Macaca mulatta: one gene and its partner. The protein of the gene in region 1 purifies or fractionates together with the protein of each later gene. This does not show direct contact. Links are inferred from orthologs where the notes say so. Each region holds a gene or a part of one and is shown on either strand. Other genes may lie near its edges. The genes, in order: ANKLE2 and PPP2CB.

The links.
Region 2: the proteins of ANKLE2 (region 1) and PPP2CB purify together in Homo sapiens (affinity purification with mass spectrometry; 4 studies listed by BioGRID and IntAct, counting the BioPlex papers as one, with this or other methods). This does not show direct contact. The link is inferred for Macaca mulatta from reciprocal best matches to the Homo sapiens genes ANKLE2 and PPP2CB.

The regions. Positions count from the first base shown.
Region 1 is NC_133416.1:140,135,277-140,139,549, reverse strand, and holds the start of ANKLE2 (ankyrin repeat and LEM domain-containing protein 2), read left to right. Parts: upstream 1-1,319; 5' UTR 1,320-1,353; coding exon 1,354-1,534; intron 1,535-4,273. UniProt on the Homo sapiens protein: Involved in mitotic nuclear envelope reassembly by promoting dephosphorylation of BAF/BANF1 during mitotic exit.
Region 2 is NC_133413.1:32,598,331-32,602,708, reverse strand, and holds the start of PPP2CB (serine/threonine-protein phosphatase 2A catalytic subunit beta isoform), read left to right. Parts: upstream 1-1,477; 5' UTR 1,478-1,481; coding exon 1,482-1,583; intron 1,584-4,378.

The DNA of each region.
Region 1 (4,273 bases):
CTTTATTCTGTAGTGCCCAACCAACCATTAGTACCATCCAATGATATTTTTTAAGAGATGGGGTCTTGCTATGTCGGTCAGGCTGGCATGCAGTGGCTATTCACAGGCGAGATCACGCTCACTGCAGCCTCGAACTCCCGAACTGAAACTACCCTCGCCCCTCACCCTCCAGAGTTGCTAGAACTACAGACCTGAGCCACCTCGCTCAGATCAATTATGTTTTTAACCAAGGATATCAATTGTATTTTTCAGGTCTTTCATTTTCATTTCGTAATATCTAAAGTAGGCTGGGTGCGGTGGCTCACGCCTGTAATCCCAGCACTTTGGGAGGCCAATCACTTGACGTCAGGAGTTCGAGACCAGCCTGGCCAACATGATGAAACCCCCGTCTCTACTAAACATGCAAAAATTAGCCGGGCGGGGTGGCGGGCGCCTGTAATCCCAGCTACTTGGGAGGAAAGGCAGGAGAATCGCTTGAGCACAGGAGACGGAGGCTGCAGTGAGCAGAGATCGTGCCATTACACTCTAGCCTGGGCGACAGAGCAAGACTCCGCATCAAAAAAAAAAAAAAAAAAAAAAATCTAAATTGTATACAGGAAAATCCTCCTCCCTTTTTCGGGACAGGGTCTCCCAATTAGGTTGGTGCAAAAGTAACTGAGGCTTTTACCATGACTTTCAAAATATTTGCCCAGGCTGGTCTCGAACTCCTGGGCCGAGGGGATCCTCCCGCCTCGCCTCCCAAGGCGCTGGGACTCCGGACGCAGCCGCCGCGCCCGGCAAAATCCAAGCTTTCGACTGCGCGTCAGGGTCGCTTGGTGAAGAAGCGGGAAGCTCCGGGGGCCTCCCCAGCGCCGGCCGCCCGTTCTGCGGGTTCGCAGGAAAGTGAGAAGCGCCTCCTCACTCCAGCTCCAGGACGGGGCGGCGGCCGCAAACGGTCCTGGGGTCCGGAGCTCACGAACCCGGCAGAGCCCGCTTAGTTCTCGAAGAGGCGCAGCGCCCCGCGGAGGCCCGGGCCCGGGAGGCAGTAAACAAGCCCCGCCCCGGCCCCCGCCCACACATTACCCTCTCCGCGCCGCGCAGTTCCCAGGACCCCGCGCCGGGCTGCCCGCGCCCCGCCTGCCGCGCCCGCCCGTCCGCTCGCCCGTCCCCGCCCGCTTGGGGTGCAGGGCCGGGGCCACCGCGGCGCCCTCGCCGGACCTTCGTGAGCGGGGCCGCCGCCCGTGTCCCCCGCGCCACCCCGGCCGCCTCTAGCGTGGCGCCGTCAGGCAGGGCGCGGGCAGCCCGGCGCGGGGTCCTGGAGCGGGCGCGGCGCAGGGTGCGGGCTCCTAGGCGGCTGCGGCCCGGGCTGCGGCGATGCTGTGGCCGCGGCTGGCGGCGGCCGAGTGGGCGGCGCTGGCTTGGGAGCTGCTGGGCGCGTCGGTGCTGCTGATCGCTGTGCGGTGGCTGGTGCGGCGGCTGGGCCCGCGGCCTGGGGGTCTGGGCCGCAGTGGGACCCCAGGCCCTCCGCCGCCCGCGGCCGCCGCCCCCGCCCCAGGTAAGGCCCAGGCGGTCGCTGGGCCCCTGCATCCCGGTCCCTTCCCCGCCCCGACGCCCTCCCCGGGACCCCGTCCCGGGCCGCGCCCCTCGAGCTCCCGGTGCCGGCAGCAGTTGGGCGAGGCCGCCGGGAGAAGGCCATTCTTTTCTCCCAGGGCCGCTCGAGAAAGGCCATTCCGGCCGCGGAAAGGGCAGTTGCGGGGAACGCGGCTTCCCGGGGCGGGGGCGGCAGGGGCCACGCCGGGTTCGGGGATGAGAGCTTTCTGGGCTCGGGAGCGGCCTCCGGGGAAGGCGGCGGGAGCCCGGCGAGGCGTTAGCGGAGAACCTTGCTGCGGTCGATGGAGACCTGGGGAGGGATGGCCCAAGGGGGGGCGGCGCGGGTAGGAAGCCCTGGGTCCCGGATGTGTTTGGAATGTGAAACCCCTGCGGTTACTGGTCATTGAACAGGAGGCAGAGACGGAAAAGGCCTATGTGACTTAGGGGTTTGGGGCGGGAGGAAACGGGAGAAGGTGTCCATTTATTGCTTTGGGGTAGACTGTCGGGTCTGGGTGATGTGGAGAGCGGAGGTGGGTTTTGGTCATTTTAAGTTTGAGGTAACTGATACTGTGAACTGTGTGTTTCACCTCCATCCGCTTTTCATGGCATACAACTCCTGAAATCCCGGGGACCTCCAATGTGAAGTCTTTTGTAGGCTGAGTGGACTGGTGGCCGGCAGCCCTTAGGGAGCTTCTGGATGGGACTGGTCGCAGGAAAGACCAAGGCTGAGTTAGAGGTTCTGGGGACTTTCAGCCCCACCCGCAACCTCCGGGGAGGGGAGAGGGCTGAAGGTTGAGCTGATCACCAATGCCTGTGAAATGAAGTTTCTGTAAAAACCCAAAAGGGCTGGGTTGAGGGAGCTTCCGGATAGTACGTGGGGATTCCTGGAGGCGGTGCCCAGAGAGGCCTTGAATTTCCAAGCCTTCCCCCCCGGTTTTACCTCACGCATCTCTTCACCTGTATTCTTTGTAATCTTTATCCTATGCTGGTAAATGTAAGTAAAACATGGCTCTGAGTTCGGGAGCCGCTCTAGCAAATTAACACAACCTGAGGAGGTTACCCGGTTACACCCAGTCGGTCCGAAGCGCAGGTCAAACAACCTGGGCACTGGAAGTGGGGGACAGTCTTGTGGGGCTGAGCCCTTAACCTGTGGGGTCTGCTGGTATGTCCAGGAAGATGCTGTCAGAATAGATGACTGAGTTAGGATGGAACTGCACAGACGACACCCAGCCTGTGTCCACTGCAGAACTGATGACCTGCGTGATTCGTGGCGAGAAAACCCCCACATATCTGGCGTCTGAAGCATGTTGCGAGAGTCTAGTGGGAGAAACTGAGTTTGTTTTTACTCTAGATTGTCAGACTGTTAGTCACTGAGAAGCGGTGCTTTCTAATGATTGAGTGGGGATTCCTGTCGGATTGTGTGAGTTTGTGTCCTGGCCCTACCCACTTTCTTTTTTTTTTTTTTTGAAATGAAGTCTTGCTCTGTCGCCCAGGCTGGAGTGCAGTGGCAGGATCTCGGCTCACTGGAAGCTCCGCCTCCCTGGTTCAAGCGATTTTCCTGCCTCAGCCTCCCGAGTAGCTGGGATTAAACGTGAATACCAACAAGCCCGGCTAATTTTTCTATTTTTGTTGCTGTTGTTGTTTGTTTTTTGAGACGGAGTCTCGCTCTGTCGCCCAGGCTGGAGTACAGTGGCGTGATCTGGGCTCACTGCAACCTCCGTCTCCCGGGTTCACACCATTCTCCTTCCTCAGCCTCCCGAGTAGCTGGGATTACAGGTGTGAGCCATCGCGCCCGGCCCTACCACTTATTGCTGTGGGCTTAACCTGTCTTCAGCCTGCTCATTTAGGAATAGGGATTATAGTAGTACCTAGTTAAGATTTTTTGGGAGTTGGGTAAGTGCAGCACTTGGTATGTGTTAAGCACCTCTGAGTGCTCTGTTACCGTCACCACCAGCATCATCCAAGCAGAGCTGTGGACAAGGTGGCTGGGGGTGGTGTTTTGAGAGGGGCTGAAATAAAAAAATACTGATATTACCACAAGTCAACAGAGATTTAGAGAAACTGGGTCTCGTGCATTGCGAGTGGGGATGGTAAGTGGTGCAGCTACTCTGGGAATCAGCCTGGAAGGTTTTTAGGAAGTTAAATCTGCTCTGCATTCCTGAGCTTTTATTAGAGAAATGAAAACGATTTTCACACAAAAACCCGTATTTGATGTTCATAGCAACTTTATTTGTAATTGCCAGAAACTGAAATAACTCAAATGTCCCTCTAGAGGTGGATGGTTAAACTTAAACATTGATACCCCAGGGTGCCACTCCGCAGCAGTCCACTCTGCCACGTAGGTGGATCTCAAGGGCATTATGCTGACTAGGAAAAGCCAATCTCAAAAGTTGCATACTCGGCTGGGTGCCATGTCTCACGCCTGTAATCCCAGCACTTTGGGAGGCCGAGGCAGGTGGAACACGAGGTCAGGAGTTCAAGATCAGCCTGGCCAATGTGGTGAGGCAGTCTCTACTAAAAATACAAAAAATTAGCTGGGCGGTGGCAGGTGCCTGTAGTCGCAGCTACTCGGAAGGCTGAGGCAGGAGAATTGCTTGAACCCGGGAGGTGGAGGTTGCAGTGAGCAGAGATCGTGCCATTGCACTCCAGCCTGGGTGACAGAGCAAGACTCTATCTCAAAAAAAAAAAAAAAATTGTTAATGTA
Region 2 (4,378 bases), on another chromosome or scaffold:
ACAGGTAAGGGTTTTTAAAGGCAGGGAGGCAGATGTTACAGGCAAAGTCATAAATCAATACATGGAGGCTATACGTGGGTTTGATCTAAAAAGCCAGGATATCTGAAGTAGGGACCCACAGGTCATAAGTGGATTCAAAGATTTTCTGATTTGTAATTGGCTAAGGAGGCAAAGCTTTGTGAATTCTTCCAGGCTCCTCAGGAAGAAATTTAGAACAAAGATAGGTAGTTTGAGATCTCCATGATAGTGGACACCATTTTCCATTTGGTGAGGTCCAGGTTTCTGAAAAACAACTCAGGGACATATGTTGTCTCCAGTTTATATAGGGAAGCAAACATTTTGTGAATCTAACGTCCTTGGCTACTGTCTTAAGCTATTATTACCTTCTTGCTTATCAGGTTGCTCATTGACTTATTGAGGAAGTTAGGTGCCTGGAATGTCCCTTCGGGGAACTCAAGGTTTTCCTTTATTTCCATGCTTGGGGAGGGTGGGGGTGGGAGTGCCTAGAAGGCCCCTAAGAGGGGTCCCTGCTGTGTCTCACTCAATAAATATTTGTTGAATGAACAAATCATTACAACTCAGTACACATTGCAGAAAACACAGCCAAGAGCGCTGGAGCTAGAAGGGCCACAGATTATCCTACAGAGCAATCATTTCACTTTTCTAATGTTGAAAGGGAGGATTCAAGATGTTAGGGCTACAGGCAAGCCTGGAAATAATTAATTTACTCCACCATTATTGAATGCCTACTATTGAGTGCTAGACTCTGGGGAGACAATGTTAAGGGAAGCCCAAGTTTTCCAATTCCCTGTTCCGAGCGCTGAAAAAGCACTGCAGGAAGCTAAAGTGAGGACAAAGTTCCCGGAGATCAGGATATCTAAAGGGAGAACCAGCAGAGCTTGGTCTGGGGCAGGGTTGGGACAGGAGGGATCCTGGCCTCCTCCGACCGTTTCTCCGCCAAGCCACGCGAGGGCGCCGTTCTGCCCCTAGCGCGCCGTGTCCCGGCGGCGCCGCCGCCTGCTCGCCTTTTCCCGGCGGAAATGCCCGAGCGATGACGGAAACCCGGAGGGAGGGAAGAGAAAGAGCGAGAGAAGGGGAAAGATACCCGGGAGAGGCCGGCAGGCGTGAGGCGGGCCTGAAGCGGTAGCTGGCGGCCTTCGTCCGGCGAGAGCTAGTCCGAGGGCCCGCGCCGCCCTCCCAGCACCTCCCCGCGTCCTTCACCGACTCCTGCGGCGCGCGGCCGGGCGGGGAAGGGCGGGCGGGGGTCTCCTACAGGCCTCGCGCTCGGAGCCGCCTGCTGGGCTTGGGCGGGGCGCGGGGACCGCGGCCGCCCTCCCCGGCTCGGTCCTCCCCTTGTGGGATCTGGCGACGGCGGCTGAGGGAGAGGGGAGCGGCGCCCGGGCCGGGGCCGGGGGCGGGTGGGGAGGGGGGAGGGCAGCGGCCGGGCCGGGGGTCGGGATCCGCATCGGGATCGGGCCGCCATGGACGACAAGGCGTTTACCAAGGAGCTGGACCAGTGGGTCGAGCAGCTGAACGAGTGTAAGCAGCTGAACGAGAACCAAGTGCGGACGCTGTGCGAGAAGGTGAGGGCGCCGCGGGGGCGAGTGCGGGAGCGCGGAACTGGGACGGGCCGCAGCTTTCCTGCCCGCCCCGGCCCGTCCGCACGCTGGCCCCTGGCCCGGCGCGGCCCACCGGGGGCCCGCGGGGCTGTGGGTCCGGCTCCGGCGTCTACCCGGGCGGCCGGCCCAGCCGTTCCGGCCCCGGGGCGTTGGGCTGCCCTCGCCCGGCCCCTCTGCCTCCGCGTGGTACACGCCCCACGCCCCCGGCCCAGATCCTGGTGGTGGGAGGCTCGAGTGCGGGCGGGCGGGCGGGGAACCATAGCCCCTGGAGCCAAGCCGGAGGTTGGTCGGGGTCGCCTGCGCTCCACTGGAGTTCCTGCCACTCTGGCATTTCCCGAGTGGAATAACGAAAGCGACATCCGAAAAGGACCATTTTCAGACCAGTTTCTGAAAATGCACCTAAAATTAACCAGAATGTCGTGCCTATTAATGAACTTGTTAATAAATGTAGAATTTTTGTCAGGTGAACGGGGCACCTCAGAAATCACTAACTCAAGCCGGGCGCGGTGGCTCACGCCTGTGGTCACAGCTACTCGGGAGGCCGAAGCGGGAGGATTGCTTGAGCCCAGGAGTTAAAGACCAGCCTGGAGCGCAGAAGTTAGAGACCAGTGAGGCCCCGTCTCCACAAAATTTTTTTTTTTTAAATTAGCAGGGCGTGAGGGCGGGTGCCTGTAATCTCAACTATTCAGGAGGCTGAGGTGGGAGGATCGCTTGAGCCCAGGAGGTGGAGGCTGGCTGCAGTGAGCCGAGATCGCGTCACTGCACTCCAGCCTGGGCGACAGAGCGAGACCTTGTCTCAAAAAAAAAAAAAAAAAAAAAAAAAAATCACTGACTCTTGAATGTGTCAAGCGTTTGTTTGTGGAGAGGTAGGCGTGATGGCCAACTGTGATTTTTAAAATAGAGGTTGACTTTGGTGGAAACAGATGGTGACTGGTCTTTGCGTTGAGTGGCTCTTGGAAGTAAAGCGTTGATTCAGAAACGAGAGCTGGTCTTAAGTTTGGGAACAGTGTTTGCTGGAAATAAATGGGATGTGTGTTTTCATGCACGATAACACTTTGCAGAAAGTTTTTGTTTTTAATATATAAAGTTTTTTTCTTTTCCAAAGAATAATAAAACATGCAGGTGATCAATTTCGTTCTTGTACATCGTGTGTGATCTTCACTTTCTGAATTCTGTATCCATTGTTTTCTTAACTCCTGGAATTATTTCGATCTCTCCATCTTTAAAGTCTAGAGTTTTCCAAATTCATCCTTTACAAGGTGGACTAAATAATTTTCATGTATTTTTATGTTAAAAATTCTCACTTGAAGTCCATGAAGAAGTAACGATGTTATTTTAAGATGTATACAATTTTCTTAACCATAATGTTTGGAAGTCATGACGTCGCAGAAGTAGGTGAAGAAAAGATTTTGTTAGTCTAATTTTAGGACACTCTTAAAATCATGAAATTTACTTAGGAAAGGAGCACTAATAGATGGTGTTAAGTTAAAATAGTATTTTTAACGGGTGTAATGTTGGCTGGGGCCTTTGTGTATTAAGTAACTGTTAACACAGGAGGATTTATTTTTGTATATAGAAGTGCCAAGCAGGTGGTACTTTTCTCTTTCTGAAACAAACTGCTTACTTGTGACTTCAGTCGACGTTCATTTTTATTGTGATAACCTGTAATTTCATGAGGCTTAAAATGTATGCTTTAAACATCTCTCTCAAGCTCTAATGCCAAGTGAAATGTACAGGTTTGAAATGAGCTGAGTCAGTTAACCTGACTATGAGCATCAGAATACAGACTTGAAGTTAAGGGCAAAGTGTTAGTTGAATCAGTTTTTTCCATTGACTCTTTTTTTTGTTTTATTTTTGTTTTGAGACAGAGTCTCACTCTGTAGCCCAGACTGGAGTGCAGTAGTGCCATCTCTGCTCACTGCAACCTCCACCTCCTGGGTTCAAGGGATCCTCCTGCCTCAGCTTCCCGAGTAACTGGGATTACAGGTACACGCTGCCATGCACTGCTAATTTTTGTATTTTTAGTAGAGATGGGGTTTCGCTTTGTTGGCCAGGCTGGTCTAGAACTCCTGACCTCAAGTGATCCCTCAGCCTCCCAAAGTGCTGGGATTACAGGCACGAGCCTCGTGCACAGTCCCCATTGACTTTCTAATAATTTTAAGGTGAACTCCTAGAGAAGAATATCGTACCACTGCTGTACTTTGAAATAATCACACCGGAGTGTCAACGATCACTTGAGGAAGCTTTCTGTATTTGTCGAGAGAGATTATTTTTACTTCGGCTCCTAAATAAATCAAACTAACAGTTCCTAGGACTTCACAGGTATATTTAAGATTATCTCTTGTATCTTACTAGCTTTTTTTTTTTCTTTTTAAGATGCAGTCTTGGTGTATCAGTCAGGCTGGAGTGCAATGGGGCAGTCACTGCTCACTGCAGCCTCGACCTCTGGGGCCCAAGGGACCTTCCCACTTCAGCCTCTCAAGTAGCTGGGACCACAGGCATGTGTCACCACACCGGGATAATATTTTTTTGTATGGGGTCTCACCATGTTGCCCAAACTGGCCTTGAACTCCCAGGCTCAAGCGATCCTCCCGCCTTGGCCTTCCAAAGTACAGGGATTGCAGGAGTGAGCCATCACTCCCAGCCCTTTTTTTTTTTCTTTGAATATTTGTACTCACCCACAAAACATGAATTTGTTAGTGAAATTCATTCATCTTTGTTCTCTTCCCCCATTGATGGAGTTGCCAGTGGGATGGAGA